3 linked regions of the Drosophila melanogaster genome follow. The protein of the gene in region 1 interacts with the protein of each later gene in a pairwise test. Each region holds a gene or a part of one and is shown on either strand. Other genes may lie near its edges. The genes, in order: Cip4, Cdc42 and WASp.

Region 1 (6,150 bases):
CTTTGGCTTATGGGAAGCAATTTGTTAAATTCTCACTGCTCGAGCATTTGAGTGGATTTCCTATGGGTAAACCGATGACATTGAAATAATAATTAATTGACACGCTTAAGTTCACTGAGATTGGGTATCCAATTAGAAAATGTAGGGTTTTCTGACAGGAACAATGTGTCAGTTGGTTTTAAAAAACCGGAATTTCGAGCTTATTTTCTGGTAGTTGTAAAATATTTGAGAAGTTTAATTGCATTTACCAAGTGCTTGGCAAAACAAAAATGTTTAATTAATTAAAATTGTGTGGCTTGCAATTTGTAATTTTTGATGAGTGCTTACAATTTCTTAATAAGACCAATGTTGTCGTTTCTATCTATATTTTAGGTTTGGAGCCTTTCAATATATATAGCCTATCTGAAGATAAGCGCCTCTTTAATATCCAAGAATATAGGAGGTAATGGAAGCTCAAAGAAGCTGGGGTCGGAAAAATCGAATTTTTGAAATTTGAAAGCTGGAATCGTTTGCCCATTTTTTGCCCATGTTTGCCCACCAATTAGTTTTTTTTGCCCACGTCCAGTTTTTGAGATATGAATTTTCGAAAAAGTTCGAAAATTTTCGAAAATCAAAAATTTCGCTTTTTTCAAATTTTTTTTTTTTAAATCGCAATAACATCGTTTGCCCACGTTTGCCCACCCTTTAGAATTTTGAAAAAATTTATACTTTAGAAAATATAAGGCTTTTAAGTTTACCTCGGTCTAATCAGAGAGTAAATCGTTTGCCCATCTCTTAAAACCAAATATTATCAACAAAAAACGTTTGCCCAACCATTATTATTAGTTTTTATCGTTTGCCCACCCTTTAAAAAACCTTTAACAAAAATTTTTTTTCGATTGCCCACACTTGAAATACAACTAATTTCGTTAGCCCACCTCTTCAAAATAAAACTTTTCAATAAAAAACGTTTTCCCACCATTTAAAAATAAATAATTTCGATTGCCCACCTTTTAAAACTAAATAATTTCGTTTGCCCATCCTTTAAAATTCATTTTTAACGTTTGCCCACCCTTTAAAATTTGTTTTTTTCGTTTGCCCACCTCTTAAAAATGGTTTTTTCGATTTTTCACCTATTAAAACTAAATTTGTACATATGTACATATGTAATAATTGTAAGATGTGGCGCCAAAAGCACAGTTACTTACAAAAGAACAGTTATTTACATATTTACATACATTTTCAATATATCCATAGTGTTAATCATTCATGAATTGTAACATCAATTTTTCTTAATCATTGTTTCATTTCATGGAAAATATTTTATTCCAGAATTTTCTTGAGCTTGGAGAGTGTTGATAAACATACATACATTTTTTTGCATATATATTATATTGCAATATAAAATATTTTCCATGAAATGAAACAATGATTAAGAAAAATTGATGTTACAATTCATGAATGATTAACACTATGGATATATTGAAAATGTATGTAAATATGTAAATAACTGTTCTTTTGTAAGTAACTGTGCTTTTGGCGCCACATCTTACAATTATTACATATGTACATATGTACAAATTTAGTTTTAATAGGTGAAAAATCGAAAAAACCATTTTTAAGAGGTGGGCAAACGAAAAAAACAAATTTTAAAGGGTGGGCAAACGTTAAAAATGAATTTTAAAGGATGGGCAAACGAAATTATTTAGTTTTAAAAGGTGGGCAATCGAAATTATTTATTTTTAAATGGTGGGAAAACGTTTTTTATTGAAAAGTTTTATTTTGAAGAGGTGGGCTAACGAAATTAGTTGTATTTCAAGTGTGGGCAATCGAAAAAAAATTTTTGTTAAAGGTTTTTTAAAGGGTGGGCAAACGATAAAAACTAATAATAATGGTTGGGCAAACGTTTTTTGTTGATAATATTTGGTTTTAAGAGATGGGCAAACGATTTACTCTCTGATTAGACCGAGGTAAACTTAAAAGCCTTATATTTTCTAAAGTATAAATTTTTTCAAAATTCTAAAGGGTGGGCAAACGTGGGCAAACGATGTTATTGCGATTTAAAAAAAAAAAATTTGAAAAAAGCGAAATTTTTGATTTTCGAAAATTTTCGAACTTTTTCGAAAATTCATATCTCAAAAACTGGACGTGGGCAAAAAAAACTAATTGGTGGGCAAACATGGGCAAAAAATGGGCAAACGATTCCAGCTTTCAAATTTCAAAAATTCGATTTTTCCGACCCCAGCTTCTTTGAGCTGGTAATGGACACCTTAATGATTCTGATCAAGCTAAACTACGAATTTGTTTTGATTTTTAGCTATAGGTATACATTCATACTCCTCAAACAAGCAGAACTATGTATTTGTTGCTTATAGGAACCCCCTGTTTTATCAATGAAATACGACTTCTTATCTGAAGATATAGCCCCTCTAAATCCAGGAAAAACTCACCCATAGCTCGGTGCCCCAACTCATGTTGTTGGAGTTTTGCGCTGAGTTTTCCGATTCGGCCAGTTTGTTGTTGCTGCTGCTTCTGCTCGATCCGCTTGCCACTGTATTTGTTGTTGCCGTCGTTGTTGTTGTTGTTTTAATAATAATAATCCACAGAAGATAATGTAATCCACAGACGATGAGGAGAGAGGGAGAAAGGTAGAAAGCGAGGGAGAAGAGCAAAAGATGAGAACTTTTATTCGTTTTTGTTTTATATTTTCCCGCAAAGGTTAATTAATTTTATGGCTGCTTTTTCGTTTTCATTTTCCGTTTGTTTTTCTATATTTTTTTCAGCGTTGCGCGGCGCGATGTTTAATTTTCTATGAAAGAGAGCAATTCGAGTCAGATATATTTCATTTTTGTTTTTTTTTTTTTCGGTGGTTGGGCAGGTAAGAAAGCATGTAAAAACAAAAAAGAGTGGCAATGCAGACGTGTCAGTTGCAGCGGCAGGTAGAAAAATGAAGTTGAAGGAAATTATAGATAATGAGAATTTAAACACTTTTTTTGGGAGTTGTTTAGTGATAAGTGCAAAATAAGAAAATTCTATGCACTGGCATTTCGATGCGCAAAGAGAGTGAGGAGAGAGAGGGAGCGATAGAGATAGAGAGCGATGCAACTGCATTTCATAATTGAGAAAAGCAGAAAGAGAGGACAATTGGAATTCTACTATTGTTGTATTTACATAATTTCGCACACACACGCACACAAGTAAACGCAATTGCCGAATGCACGCACTCTGCTTCTAGATCTGCCACCGTTTTTTTTTTTGTTATTTGTGCTAACTTTTTTTTTAGCATTTGCTTTGCAGTTGCAACTTCTTTCGATTTTGGGTTTTATTTAGCGCCTGCACTTTCGCATGCGTCATAATTCGGGCGACATTTGCACACACACACAAGCACACAGTTAAAACACCCGCACTCACACAACGCAAGCATTTGTTTCTCCTTTTTGGCGTGCGAAAAAACAATTTTATCCGCTCGCAACTTTCCGCTCGTTTTTTCACTTCGGCATCAATACACAGTGTGACCGCAATGTGTTTGAATAGGCACACCTCTGCGTTTGCAGTGTGACCAGAGACCGATGGCGACCTAATTTCTAACTCTTTAACATCTAGCGGGGATATGAACCCATATTGAGAGCAACTGTAAAGTTTAATTATTATTATATAAAATATATGAAACTTTCGTTAATACGTGCCCCCATTTTTTTTTATAATTTAACGTTAATTGTAGACTTTTTAAATATATTATTGTGGCCTTGAAAACTAATAATTTTATGGAATAACATAACGTTGAAACAGATGAAGAAAGCTATTATTGAGCTTGGAAGAAACTTCTTATTATTGTTTATTGCTTTTAAAGTAACAAGAGCATCGCTTATTGTTGTATATAATATATTAATTTGAACATTAAATTCACTGGAGCAATAGATTTTGGCACACTGTAAGGTGTAAGCATGTGCGCCAGGCGCTAGATCATTTTTAGTACTTTCCTTGCATCAGCTGTTAACACTATCAGCTGGTGGGTCAACAATTACATTAGATTTACTAACTTTTTAATGAATTAAAACTTGAGAGAAACAACGTTAATATAAGAAATTAAATTCCTTACCAGCTCATACAATTCACCGGTCACAATGCCTTCTTACGAACTAGCACTGGTGCTCCGCCAATTGCCTCGCGTGAGTAGCACATGAAATCCACCGGCAGTTACATAAAAGTAAATAAGAATTGTACACCGCCCGCAGCCCGAACTGATTTCCGTGATTAGGCGAACGGCCGAGTCCATCCTGGACAAGGGCGGCATTATCCGGAAGCTGGAGAACCTGGGATCCCGCGCCCTGCCCCACAAAGTCAGCGAACACGGGGTGGTTCACCGGGAAGGCACCCACTTCACCATCGCCTTTGATACGGCGCCCACTAAGATCGCAGACTTGAAGGAGGAGTTTGGCCGCGACATCGACATCATACGGCGCTACATCTTCAAGGTGGAGGAGCCCGAGCAGAAGCCCTGCACGCTGCACGAGGAGATGCTGCCACCCGCGTATCGCAAGGATGTGCAGGAGATCATTGCGGCCGCCCAGAAGAAGCAAAAGAAGAAGTTCAACTACAACTCCGGCCTGGACTACTATCCCTTCCAAAAATAAAACACCAAATAAAACGCGTTAATTATGTATGCTAAAACCGGTTGTGGGTTCCTCGATCTTTGGCTAATTCAAACTGAAGCATTCCTTATGAAATGCGCCTGTTATCTTAGTACTTTTCACAATGTTTGTCTTTGTTTGGTTTATGGCGCCCAATCGGACGCTTATCAATTAATTGATAAAGCTCCGTATAATCGACCATCAATAGAACGTAAATTGTCCAGGTAGTGCCTCAAGAATCGTCGAGCAGTTCACTAGTACTTCCTCCTGACCGCAAACGACCTAGAAATGTCACCGCAAATCCGTCCACTTACGCCAGAGCTGCAAAAAGTTGCCAAGGAGCAGCTCAAGGAGGATCCCGAACGTCTCGAAGCCGATCTGCAGGCGTTTAAGACATGGATCGAGCAGCAGCCGCATCTAAATCCCCGAATGGATGATCAGTTTCTGGTGGCTTTCTTGCGCGGCTGCAAGTACAGTTTGGAGCGGGCCAAGTCCAAGTTAGATAAGTACTACACGCTGAAGACCAAGTATCCGGACTATTTCCGAGTTACCAACACCACGGATAGCAAGTTCCGGGAGATTCATCAAACGGGGTAAGGATTTTGACGCCAGCTAACTAATTTAATTTATCAATGCAATTCTGTCAATTCAGTGCCATCATCTACCTGCCCACTCCGCTGAATGAAAATGGACCTCGCATCGGGATCTGGCGCATGGGATTGGTGCCAGTGGAGAAGTACACAATGCTGGAGTGCATGCAAGTGGCCCAGGCAATGCAGGAGATTGCCATTTTGGAGGACGACTACGCCAATGTCAATGGAGTAGTTTTCATTATGGACATGAAGGGTGCCACCGCCGCACACTTGTTCCAGATGACGCCGTCGATGGCCAAGAAATTCACTGTCTTCTCGGAGGAGGCACTTCCACTGCGTCTGAAGGCACAGCATTTCATCAACACCATCACCGGATTCGAGCAGCTGTTCAACATGTTCAAGCCAATGATGTCCAAGAAAATGCAGTCTCGCCTATTTGTGCACGGCAACAAAATGGGGCTCTTGACGGAGCAGATTCCACTGAAATATCTGCCCGAGGAATACGGCGGCGAGAATGGCACCACGCAGGACATCGTGGCCGCCATGGAGAAGAAGTTGGACGAGTACGCCGATTTCTTCCAGGAAAATGTGAACTTCGGCACCGACGAGAGCCTGCGTCCCGGAAAACCAATCGATTTTGAGGGGCTTTTCGGAGTAGAAGGTTCCTTTAGAAAGCTCAACGTGGACTAGTTTCAGTTTGTAACTTTAAAGATTTTATTTTCTTATCAGCCAGTTGAAAAAGTTGTCCAATTTAGTGGCTAGAAAACACATTCGCATCAGTTGAATTGTAAAATCCAATAGTAGGAATGATAATATAGGAATACATGAATATGCTACGATACTTCGCAGCAGTTTTAGGTTTCTCCTATATAAACATTGTCCTTTTAGCTTTTATTATCATCTGTAGAAGCAGATCTTTCGCTGCCATTTAGTTGGTGCGGATTTGA
Region 2 (6,150 bases), on another chromosome or scaffold:
ATATTGAATGCTTCTCGACGACGGGAGGCTGGGAAGGAGTCATTGCGATAGTAGAAAGCCAGAATGAAAGGGATACCGCGTGTGAGGAAAGCAGAATTATAAGAATTTGCACTTCCTTTTCTTTGTGGGCTCTGGTGGCTCGAGGGCGGCCAGGATGGCCTCGTCGAATACATTTTTCAGGCCCTTCTGTGTCAAGGCCGAGCACTCCACGTACTTGACGGCCTTCAGCTCCTTGGCCAGCTTCTCGCCCTGCTCCATGGTGATGGGCTTCTGCTTGTTCTTGGCCAGCTTCTCCAGCGTGCTGTTCTCGTCGCGCAAATCAATCTGTGTGCCCACCAGCAGGAACGGCGTCTTTTGGCAATGGTGTGTAATCTCGGGCACCCACTGCAAATGCAAAATGACTCACTTACAGTCTCGCCATGGCGTAGAATAGTCTTGTACGTACCTTCTCCTTGACGTTCTCGAAGGAACTGGGACTGACCACCGAAAAGCAGACAAGGAAGACATCCGTCTGCGGATAGGAGAGCGGACGCAGCCGATCGTAGTCCTCCTGTCCGGCCGTATCGAACAGGCCCAGTGTGTAGGGCTCACCGCCGATCATCACAGTGACCGCATAGTTGTCGAACACCGTGGGCACGTACTCCGACGGGAACTTGTTGGTTGTATACGAGATGAGCAGGCATGTCTTACCCACGGCTCCGTCGCCGACGACCACGCACTTGATGGTTTGCATGTTGTGCAGAGGGGTGATGACTCCTGCGGATTAGTGGGGGTTAGTTTGCCGGATTACACTGGGGGGATGACTAGTGGGTGCGGCTTCCCTGCTCCTGCTCGTACTCCTGCCAGAGTGACCGTTCGCCAGCGGCGCCTTATCAACGAGGAGGAGCGGAGCCCAGGAGAGCGGGGCGGCAGTGTGTGTGCAATGTACATATGTACATATCTGGGCAGAATGAGCGATGACTCAAGCCGAAGAAAGAACGGAAAGAATGGAAAGCAACGGCGCACACAGATAAGCCGGACGGGCATCAGAAAATTCTGATTGGACACACATACACGCAAACACTTGCGCGCAGGGGCGCAGCGAGTACGGCAGCTTGCGGTTGTGTGTGTGCGGTGCGTGTTCACTTGGTCTAATGCAGTTTTTGCTGCACTATTACTGGCTTTATGATGGTTTATTTGGTCACGGGACTGGCCGCCCAGTCAGCTGCTGGAGCTGCCCCCTGTTTTTAGCTATAGTCGGATTTTAGACGAGATTTGCAGACAAAAAACTAAAGAAATTTGGAAGCAATTATTTATCACACACGCACACTGCGGCACGGACCACACGCACATATGACACACACACACAGGCAGGCAGGCCCGTCATCGACATTTGGTTTTCATTCACTTTTCACTGGGCAAATTGAAACGCGTTGCGATCTATACGGCGGATGCTCGTTGCGGGCACCTTTTCCGCCTTACTTACAGTTATTTAAAATTTGCAACCGCTGTCGAATCCGTTTAGTTTTCCGCTTTTCTGGGCTGGGCTCGATACGTACGGAAAACTACTATTTCCTTTTGTGTTAGCGTTCTCTCTCTCCAGCGAGCTCTTTGCGTGCGAGTGACTAGCGCGGCGTTGCCATCCCGTCGCAGTACTCCCACCCGGCTTGCATCGCAATCGGTATGTTGGTATTTTCGGTGGAAGTTCTCTGTCACTGTAAGGGCTATATATCCGACCGATCGGGCAGAGCGGGACCAATATACTGCATACAGTTGCGGTAACAATAATAAGCGGATTTCGTGTTTGTCCCAGTGTTTCTGTATTTTCTGACACTTTTTCATCATTTTACTCACTAAACTTAAATACTACAATGATTTTCAATCGAAATAAAAAAATTAGTAACAGATCTAATGGATAAAATAATTGGTAAAACAAAAAAAAACCTTCAAATTTAGGCGGTAACAAAAATAGCACTGTTTCTTGTAGTTTGCCAAAACTAAATAAAAAAATTTTTTAAAAAATTTTTAAAAAAATTTAAACAAACGGATTATATCTTAAAAACTATGTTTAAAGAATCTTAATATTTGGTTGCGTGACCTATGCTGGTAATGACAGCTGGACATCGTCTTGGCATGGACTCCACCAAGTCCTGGCACTGTTTTTGAGGAATTTTGCTTCCTGAATCCTTGACCACACCCCAAAATTCCTCGTTATTATTGGGTCTGGCTTCAGAAACCCTTTTTTCACGTCCGCCCAAAGGTTTTCGATTGGATTCAAGTCGGGTGACTGAGCAGGCCATTTCATTACTCGGATCTACTTCTGCTCAAACCACTTTGAGCTTTCTTGCTCGTGTGTTTTGGGTCGTTATCCTGTTGAAATGTCCAAACCAACGGCATTTCATCCTCGGCATATGACAGTAAATGTGCTGATCCATGATGCTTTGAATCCAATGGATTGGAACTACTCCATACCATGAAAAGCACGCCCATACCATGATGCTTGATCCCCCGTTTTTTACCGACTTAAAGGTGAAGCGAGGATTATATTTAGTGGTGGACGTCGTGGTGGACGCCGAACATAAGACCGAGAGCCTTTCCCACCAAACAACACAATTTTGATCTCATCTGACCACAAAATGTTGCACCACTTCTCCATAGGCCAGTCCTTGTGTATCTTGGCATATTCGATTCGCTTTGCCACATGCTTCACAGTCAAAAGCGGTACTTTTTTGGGGCTGCACGCATTAAGGTTGTTTTGTCTTAAGCGTTTGCGAACTGTTTCCACGCTTGCAGCTATCTGAAGCTCCTTCTTCAGTTCCGTCGCCGGCTTAAAAGACTCCTTCTTGCTTTGCCAAACCAAGCGCTTGATCTCCACGTTGGACATTGAGGGCTCTCTTCGCCGTGTTTCCTTCTTTTCGACAAACAGCAGTGCTTTGCGGATCATTTTGTTTGAACAACCGACAATGCGACCAATTTCAGCGTAGGTTTTACGTTCAGAAATCATGTTTTTAATCAAATTTCTTTTTTCGACGGTACAATGCTTTCCGCGACCCATGACTAGAGAATTTTTTGTCTTCGTTTGGAAAAAATTCAATTAAAACCTTTATTGCAACTCCTTTTTTCAAAATTTGTCGAAAAAAAAACCCAAAGCAATCACTCCTATTAATTGTATTCAGCAAATACGTGATCGGTGCTATTTTTGTTACCACAGCAAGTGCCCAAAAACAAAAAGAACCGTTACATTGAGAGAGTAAAAATTTCTTGCTCAGAGAGACAACATATGGTTCTTATTATTCATGCAATCTGACTTAAAAAAATAAAACATTTAATTATTTTTTTTGGTAAATCAACTTTCCACCTGCAGTAGTGTTATTATTTTAACCGCAGCTGTATTCATCGTGTCATCGTGAAGTAATTGTTGGGTATAAAATATTCTCACTTGGCGCTATTTGTCACTGAGACAACTTTTAGATTCACTTTATCCCTCCCTCCCAAAAATATTCTATTTGTTTGGATACAATATAATCTCGGTTTTCTTAACAATATCTGCTGTTTGGGTTGGCTATTTGTGATTTCCATTTAAGAAAAAACAAACCTCGATTAGCGGTATATTTAGCACAACCCATTGGTATATCCCACAGCCAATTTCGAACTTCGAGGCAGTCACACTGGTGGATGTCGCTGCTGTGAAACGGGGCAGGACAAAACAATTGACCAATAGGAACCGAAACCAACACACTGCACTGGCCCCGGGATCGGAATGGCTGGATTCCTGAAGACAAGGTAATCACCTTGACCAAGGTAGTGAGGTCCCAGCGCTAATCAAACGCACACCATTCCTCCACAGAAAGCGCAGCCGGGAGGATGAACTGGCCTGCGAGTCGCCCCTTTCGAAGCGCATCAACAACCTGAATCTGAACTACGAGGATGGGAACAGCAGCAGCAGCAGCAGCTGCAGCATTCCGCCACTGTCGGGAGGAGGAGCGACTGGTGGATCCGGCGGGTCCGATGCAGCCGGAAACGGTGTGGCGGCCGGATACGAATACAACCCAGAACTGGGAGCCGAACAAAACCCATTTTACTACGAGAAGAACAAGATGCTGTACGACCTGCATGTCGAGCGCATCAAGCGGAGCAGCCAGTAGCTAGTGATCATGGATTCCGGTGTGCGAGTCCAAGTCCTGGCACAGCCATTTAAGTGCCAACACGAGTTATCTGCAGCAACACTCTCTCTAGGTTCAAAGTAATTCGCCTCCGTTCAGTCTTCTCTGCGCACGGATTCGGATATCCGTGTCTGGAGTCACTTGCGTTTGTGTGATAAGCATTGTTTACTTGCATGGCATTAGCATCACCCCTGATGCATACACATAATAATAGTAGTATAAATTGAGCTAAGAGTCCCCCAAACACGCACATGAATATATATAAACTATGTTCATCGGTTACCATCCCTTCAATATGTATTTATAATCCTGCATGTATAATTTATTCTAAGAATAATGTAAGAAAACCTCCATATCTTTATATTTTCCTATTTCGATGAAATACGATATCCAGGGGGGTACAAGTTCATTGCTGAGTCGGTGGAGATGGAAAATAAGCTACAGGGACCTGATAAAACGAAAGCTGGACTTATTCATTGTTTATATACGCATCTGCTGACATGGTCATTTTGCTTATTCCGAGAATTTAAGCATGGACCTGCAATACAAGAATACGTCCAATAAACATTTACATAGTAATACATCTCATCCTTAGACAAATCTTTAAAACAAATATTGCGCTCAAGGACTTCATTTTCCCAATTCGTGACCATTGACAGGGTGGCAACTCTATATAGCACTGTGTTATTTTAGTTAATTCATCTTTCATCAAATAGCTGATCAAATCTATTTCGCAGCATTCAAAAATTCGTATAACTAAAAATGAGTGTACAATTTGAAAAAACATATTGCGGTATATTTTGGTATTTGGACTACCACTGTTTTGCCAGTTTTTGAAAACTTTTGGAAAATGGAAAGTTAATATATTTTTAAGGTATTTAATATGTTTTCATGTGCATATATTGACATTTCAATGCTTTATGTCGTTTGAGATGGATTAATTTAAGCATTATGATTCCTCCATAAAATTGAAATGGAATCACCCTACTAAATATACAAGGCGTCTGCCAAAGCTGATTTTTCTGCATCTAACGGCTGGTCACACTGTCTATGTTTATGTCGCGCATATCGGGAATTTGTCGTACAATTGCGATTCGCGGTGCAAACAATCGAGTAAGTTGCCTATTCTCGTACTTGGTCGATGTGGAGACCCTTCTGCCGACCCTCAATCAGCTTCCACGCCAAAGGAGCTGGGTGAGCGGTTGAATAGTGGGCGCCAGGATGCCGTGGCCACGCAGTTCTTAAATCGCAGCGCCGCATAAACGAAGAGCCTTACTCTTTCTTTCTTTCCGCTCACAGCCATCAGCCCAAATTGCCATTGCCATTGCCCGGAGCACCGAATTGGCTGCAAAATGAGGCAGTCCGCGATAGGCGAGGACCGCAGGAGCAGCAACAAGGAATCGTGCCACTAGATGGCACAGGAGCACCAGAAGGACCAAGAATCAGATTAGCAGGAGCAACAAGTCCTTTGCACGCAACAGGTTATCACGAATTGCCCACAAGAGCACTCAGTTCCCACTCCAATCCAATTGCATCTAACGCATCACATCACATTGCGTCGAATCTAATCAAAACACATCACATAATCGCGATGAGCCCCTTCGGCTCCAAGAAAAACCGATCCCTGTCGGTGCGGGTGAGCACCTTCGACTCGGAGCTGGAGTTCAAGCTGGAGCCGCGCGCCTCCGGCCAGGATCTGTTCGACCTGGTGTGCCGCACCATCGGGCTGCGCGAGTCTTGGTACTTTGGGCTGCAGTACGTCGACACCCGCAGCAACGTGTCCTGGCTGAAAATGGAGAAGCGGGTGCGCGACCAGCGCGTTGAGCTGCACGCTAGCAATAATGTGTATGTGTTTAGCTTCTACGCCAAGTTCTTTCCGGAGAACGTCAGCGAGGAGCTGATCCAGGAGATCACGCAGCACCTGTTCTTCCTGCAGGTCAAGCAGAGCATCCTCTCCATGGACATCTACTGCCGCCCGGAGGCGTCCGTGCTGCTGGCCTCCTACGCG
Region 3 (6,150 bases), on another chromosome or scaffold:
TGGAAAGTTGCGAATTAGCAAAGCGTGAATTGCGAATCGAAATTAGCGATTTTCCCATGTTGTGCACACCATAATTATCCGCACAACGGCCGCCGTTAAATGACCACATTCCAAGTTTCCACTCCAATTTCAGGGCATTCTTATCGCACTTGGCATTGGCCGGTGATTCGCATTGGGCGGGCGGATTGATAAGATAAGGTTCGTCTGTATTTCGCCTCAAATACTATATGTACCCCCACTCTTATCACGACCCAATGGGCCAAACTAATGGTTTCTCTTTCGTTTCGCACCACAATCGGCTTTGGCACCCCAATACTACGAAGGAATAGAGTTGGAAATAAAAAACTAATCAAGAAGTGCAAACAACTGCGCTTGTGGCCTATCAATGCCGGCTCAAGCCGTTTGCTGATAGAGGCTCTAAGAAATGCTAGGTAAATATTAGTAATGTTAACAAAGTCTAACAAATTGCTCTAGTAACACTGGCCAGCACATTCGGACTCTGATCTGAATGAATATTATTTATTCCTTATATACTCCTAATTTCTTAATGAGCATTTAATACGAGAATAGTGCCCAATAAGTTGTAACCTACATATGTATGTATGGGCACCATAAAACATCTGTGTAACAATGATTCATCTTGTTTTTTTTTTGTATAGTACAGAGAACATTAATCTAAATGGTTATCTGCACTGACTCAAGTAGACTTTCCAGCAAAAGAGTATGTCTTTCAATCAAAACCAAAGCTAATAATGTGTACGATACTCCCATGCAAGTTTTATAGCTGACCAACTAACTATAGTGCATAGAACTCTAATTTTGTTCACAGTTTAGCTTCCGGTGCCATCTTTAAATGGGCAAAGAAACCATTCAACTATGTTGGGCAGTGTGCAAGTGAAATTTGGTAAATATGACAGGCAGCTGCCCGTAGACCGTAGAATGATATTATGATATAGGGTTACTGTGCTTCGAGTGAAATTCGCACACGATGGGCGACACTTGAGCCGCAGGAAGTGCTTCATCAAGCCGTGGGATTTGCTCGGCGAAGGCGGAGGAACACAAACCATGTCATTGCTTAATTATTAATCACCCGATTGGGGGCATTATGCATCATCAGTACTCGACTCACCTGGCACTTCTTGCCCAGCAGCTTGAAGACGGCCTCATTCTCCTCCTGGGTGAGCAGCGTACTGGCGGCATTGACCTTCGCCCGTGGACCGTCCTGCGACCTCATTCCGCTGCTCATCTGGCCGGTTTCGTTGGATCTGGGTCTGGTGCTGGATATGGGGATCTGGGCTGGTTTCCCTGCACAATACGGACACAATACGCATTTTATTGTGTGGCGAAAACAATACGCAAATGAACAAAAGCTAAATGTATTAATTTAATATCACAAAACGCTGGGGACCCCGAAAAAGTAAAAAGTTCATAACAATAAAGGCACACGGAGTAACAGTTGAACTTCGATAGAGTGAACAAAAGTTTGGGATCGTAGGGTTGACGATACAATATGAAAAGTTTGAGCTCCCATAAATATACTAAAGAGTTCAGAAACTGTATAATATTTAACGTTTAAATGAATTATTGCAGTCAACGCCTTCGAATATAAAAAGATAACTACACTTGGATAGGCTGCCTATTTTTTTGTACAGTGTACAGCTTGTAAAAACTCCGATCTACAGAGAGTTTGAGCAACGGAGTCCGAAGTGTGTTGCGAATAACCCGATTTGGGATCGAAGAATTATGGTTTTGGGACTGCTGAATCGATTGACAGTATTGTCTTTACGGTTTTGAATGGTTTTCAGCCCGAATTACGGCCAAGAGCGCGAGCGAGAGAGACCGAGACCTGCGCTGGCTATGACGATGTAGCTGGTTATGGTGTCGGCGGGGCTGCGAGCGGATCGCCTGGTCTGAGTCACGGTGCCCGAGAGTCGGAAATCAGAAGCAGAAACAGAAACAGTCAGCCAGCAAGCCAGCCAGCTGCGTTTGAATGTGGGCAAAAGCCAGGCCAGTGGCAAACTCTTCGAAAAGAGCCCTTATCTTTGGCGAAAAGCACTGATTAGGTGTGCGCATGTATCTATGTGTGATACATGCACAGTGGTCTGGGTTACTCAACATTCGGCACTCGCCACAAGCCACCAGCCAATCCACCCCACTGTGCGCCACTCCGTAGCTCCAAGATTTGTGACAACACCTGTCCGTCGTCGCGCCAGGTGGGGTGAAAATGCAAATGTAAATAGACAGACGCTGCTGCGGATTGGGAGTAAGTTCATGGGTTGGGTTGGTTCGGCTTGGATGGGATGGGATGATGTGCTGCCCTACTCAAGGTCTCGAATTTCCCTTGTGAGCTGCTCTGCTGGGGGGGTCGCCCATTGATTTTTTGCGTTTATTTTCGTGCACTGCTCTTCACTCTTTCGTTTTTTTCCCACACACAACACAACACACCACAAAATCTGTGTAGTCTCTGGCCTTGCGGATTCCGGGACTCTTATCGGGAGGCTCTACTGTGCGCGCGTCCGCGTCATCGAGTGCATGGCGTTGAAAACGAGTGTTCCTCGGTTGATTATTCGTCTGTTCCCGGACGCAATGCTAGTTTGTTTATTCATTTATTTTTTTTCACTCCAATTCAATTGCTGCCAGTGTGACCGACCGAAAAAGGCGATAGGCTAAAAATACTATCCTTTCGATAATTTCCTAAAATATGCATCAAGCTCTGCCAAGGCCCTGTGCAGACCATGCTCGAGACTTTTCAATTTTGCCCATCACTAGTTCCGCTTAAAAGTTTATCAAAAAGTTTCAGGCAATTCCGTTAAGAAATCGCGAGTGGAGAGCTGTGGGAATAGTATATTTTTTCATTTATGTTATCTTTTCCGTTAAATTTGATTTTGTTTACCACGCCCGTAAATTCGAATAAATATTTGTTCATCTGGCTTTCAAAATATGTTTTATTTTGATATAAATTATAATCGAGTAAATTCACATTGGTTTAATTTTTTGCTGACAAAAAGCATATTTCGATTTATTCATATTGAAAATGGTTAATCGCATTGAATCGGTAAAAACTAAGTCGCAAATGATGAGCTTAATGCATAAGCTGTTTCCTAAAACAGTTACCCTTAACTTGCTAAATTATATAAAAGAATACTTAAAAAGCAGTGACTAAAAAATGTGAATTTCTTCTCTCTTCAGATATTTGGTGTTTGCATAAGGAAGCCAGGGGCATATTTTAAACTTAGAGTATATTCTCAATAAAGATGTGCAACTATATGATTGTAATTGATTTCAGTAGCTCACCAGTTGGAGGACAGCTCATCTAACTAAGTGTTAAAAAAGTTAAATCAGAACAGACATTCGACTTGGTAAACCTTTCCTAGTTAATGCGACAATCGAATATATAGCATTTATATATATGCCAGTATACATTTTGTATATATTGGGTAGTTGTACACATGTTGAAAGGCCTGATTTTGTGTATATATATGCAATACATTTGGCTACACACGATCGGGAGCATCGGGAGCTTCCTTCTCTGACTGTGATTTGGATAAGTTGAAGTTACTAGGAGTTTGCGCTAACTCTATGCTAAACTGGTTGCTTACAAAGTTTTAGGGTCTACGTATAATGTATAAAGTAAAAGGAGAGTAAAATATGGATTACATAGCGTATGTATATTAACTCCTATCCTAAAAACTCTTTGATTTTGACTCTGACTCTAGCTCGGCTTGTGGATGTGGACCTGTGCGTGTTCGGTTCCTAAAAAATGCTTGACAAATACAGTCCTGTTCCTCTTACAATCTCCACTTCCGTTTTCGCTTTAACTTGGCTAATTTGTGATCCATACTATCCTGAACAAATTAACCCTCTATTTCCGCGCGCCCACCACTGGCAGCTTGGACTTGACTCCTCCAGCGGTGCTGGGGGTATTGTCAAACGTGGAGCTGCGCAGGAGCGTCGGCTTGGTTCCATTTGCGTTGAGCATGTTGGAAGATTTGGTTTTCTGCGTCCTCAGGTTGGATGACGATTGCTTGGTTTTGGCCTCGTCCACTCTCTTCCAGATGTTGGCGATACGACTTTGCGCATGGTTGATCTTGGCCGCAGCTGCTGCGGCTGCACTGCTTCCATTTAGGTTGGAGTTGCTGCGGGATGGTGGAGTAGTGGACGACACGCGGCCGGAGACCACACGTGAGGCAGCGTGAGATTTGCCCGCAGCTAGTCGCAGACTGGTGTTTGCCCTTTGAGGCGTCATTCGGCGGGCCGGCGCCAAGGGAATCCTCTTGGGAGAGCCCGCTTTCGATGGTGACCCACCGCTGGCCGTGCCTTTCTTTGTGGGTAACTTCGAGGCGCGGTGAGTGGGACTGGTTTGAGCCGGTTTTGTCTCCACCACGGGCACTTGAACATTGGAGTTAGTGGGCTCGTCCTTGACAAAGGTTCCCTGGCGTTCCAAGCGTGCGGGTGCCGGCTCAGGCGGCGGCGTCGGCTTCTTTTTCGCTGGTAACCTAACTCCTGAACCGCCGGGCACCAGACTTCGTTTGGCAATTGTTGGAGATAGGGTTTTCTTCTTGGACGGGGCGGCATTGTTGCTATTCCGTTGACTTTGCATGCTGTAGGGTGAGACATAGGCTGGTTTCTTGCGACCTCGCACCAGTTTTACGGCCGTGGCGGGCTCCAAGGTTGTGGGCTTAACGACTGATGTTCTAAGGTCCACAATTGACGGAGGAGGAGGCAGCTGATCCGGTTCCTGACCATCGCACGACTCCGTCTCAGAGTTCTGATCGCACTCCGGGGATTCCCCTGCGTCTTCTGGATGATCAGTACTCTCGCAAGTCTCCTGACTGTGTCCAATGTTAATGTCCGTGATGAAAGTGAACTGTTGCATCATTGCTCGAATTGAGGAGAGCTGTTCGCTTGGGCAATCATCGGGTTGGGGTTGTATCAAAGCCAGGGGACATTCAATCAGTTGGGTCTTGTACCGCTCCGCACTGCCCCTTCTCCTTCCATTGGCGCGTGGCGATGGCGTGGCCACAGGAACGGCAGCTTCCACAATTTCTATCTGCAAAGTTTCATTGGCCTCTGGTGCTTCCATCTCGCAGCTGGTGGCTATGGTGTAGGTCTTGAAGCGATCCTTTGTGAGACGTCGCTTGTCTTTCGGTGTGAGGGAACGACGATTGGGTGATGGAGTAGATCCGTGCTTGGGTGTGGACTCGGCCGAGCTGTAGTCATTCATTGTGGCATCCTCATCCTCGTCGAAACAACTTTGGAGCACGGTCATCGTCTGATCATCGCAAGCAGCCGTCTCATAGTTGGACACGGAAATGGTGGTGGCCATGCTGCAGTCCTGCTCGCCATCGGCCACCTCAGATTGAATGCTGTCCACACTGATCATCGAGTCCAGCAGCTCATCCATCAGTGACGGAGGCTTGATGTTGTCCAGCAGGTTGCAGCTGGAGTTCACGCTCTCCGCACTGCCAGCTAAGTGACCCAGTGCTCGTCTGGCTACCAAATTGGCTGGAAACATTTTTCGCGCGAAGCGTGGACTCTTGCTGGGCATCGCCTGGCGCAGAGAACTAGGCTGGGAGTGATCCTGGTAGCAGCTGTTCAGCGATTCCATTCCCGACGGCGGACGAATATTATCCAGATCCAAACTGTTCAAGCTGAAGGTCATCTCCGTGGTGTCATCGTCAGTGGCAGCGGGCTGGAGTAGATTTTCCGCCAGAGCTCGCGCTTCGAACGCAATCATGGTCGAGTTTGTCATAATGGAGGCACTAGTTCCATTAAATAATAGTCTTTGCGGCTCCAATCTAACGCCAGCATTCTGCACCTGCCCACCCAACTGGAAGTTAAGACCTCCAGACGATCCTGAGTAGCTATCAGCATGACCATTAACCAGGGTATCAGTTTCCCCTTCGAGCGATTCCGGTTGCTGTTCATTCGTGGGCGTTATCTCAATCAACTCGTGCAGGGATCTCGCCTCCGTGGCATCTTCATCCAAGCTCAAGGAGGCCAGAACCGGTGCCGTTTGACTGACGCTGGGGAAACTCACATCATTGGGACAGGTGCTCTCGTTCCAGGTGTTGTTGCTACTGTTGTTCTTGTGGCTGTTGCTGCTGCTGTGGTTGTGGCTGCTGCTGCGCAACTGCTCCGCCGACGTAA

The links.
Region 2: the proteins of Cip4 (region 1) and Cdc42 interact in a two-hybrid assay, tested with the Drosophila melanogaster proteins (one study listed by BioGRID).
Region 3: the proteins of Cip4 (region 1) and WASp interact in a two-hybrid assay, tested with the Drosophila melanogaster proteins (3 studies listed by BioGRID, with this or other methods).

The regions. Positions count from the first base shown.
Region 1 is NT_037436.4:4,360,598-4,366,747, forward strand, and holds the start of Cip4 (Cdc42-interacting protein 4), read right to left. Parts: upstream 3,378-6,150; 5' UTR 3,266-3,377; coding exon 3,151-3,265; intron 2,531-3,150; coding exon 2,430-2,530; intron 1-2,429. Other genes in the region: mRpS6 (mitochondrial ribosomal protein S6), read left to right, coding at 4,104-4,148, 4,215-4,613; CG33514 (uncharacterized protein), read left to right, coding at 4,899-5,203, 5,263-5,893; CG11342 (uncharacterized protein), read right to left, coding at 6,101-6,150.
Region 2 is NC_004354.4:19,692,541-19,698,690, reverse strand, and holds the start of Cdc42 (cell division cycle 42), read right to left. Parts: upstream 1,601-6,150; 5' UTR 1,539-1,600; exon of another isoform or gene 1,466-1,538; intron 757-1,465; 5' UTR 734-756; coding exon 446-733; intron 385-445; coding exon 97-384; 3' UTR 1-96. Other genes in the region: CG14229 (uncharacterized protein), read left to right, coding at 3,740-3,762, 3,827-4,124; Mer (merlin), read left to right, coding at 5,734-6,150. UniProt on the Drosophila melanogaster protein: Regulates mbt kinase activity and is also required to recruit mbt to adherens junctions. Together with mbt and Frl, regulates photoreceptor cell morphogenesis. Together with Frl, has a role in the neuronal development of mushroom bodies.
Region 3 is NT_033777.3:28,829,373-28,835,522, forward strand, and holds the start of WASp (WASp), read right to left. Parts: upstream 2,653-6,150; 5' UTR 2,446-2,652; intron 1,942-2,445; exon of another isoform or gene 1,847-1,941; intron 1,769-1,846; exon of another isoform or gene 1,622-1,768; intron 1,306-1,621; 5' UTR 1,247-1,305; coding exon 1,130-1,246; intron 1-1,129. Other genes in the region: Apc (APC-like), read right to left, coding at 3,863-6,150.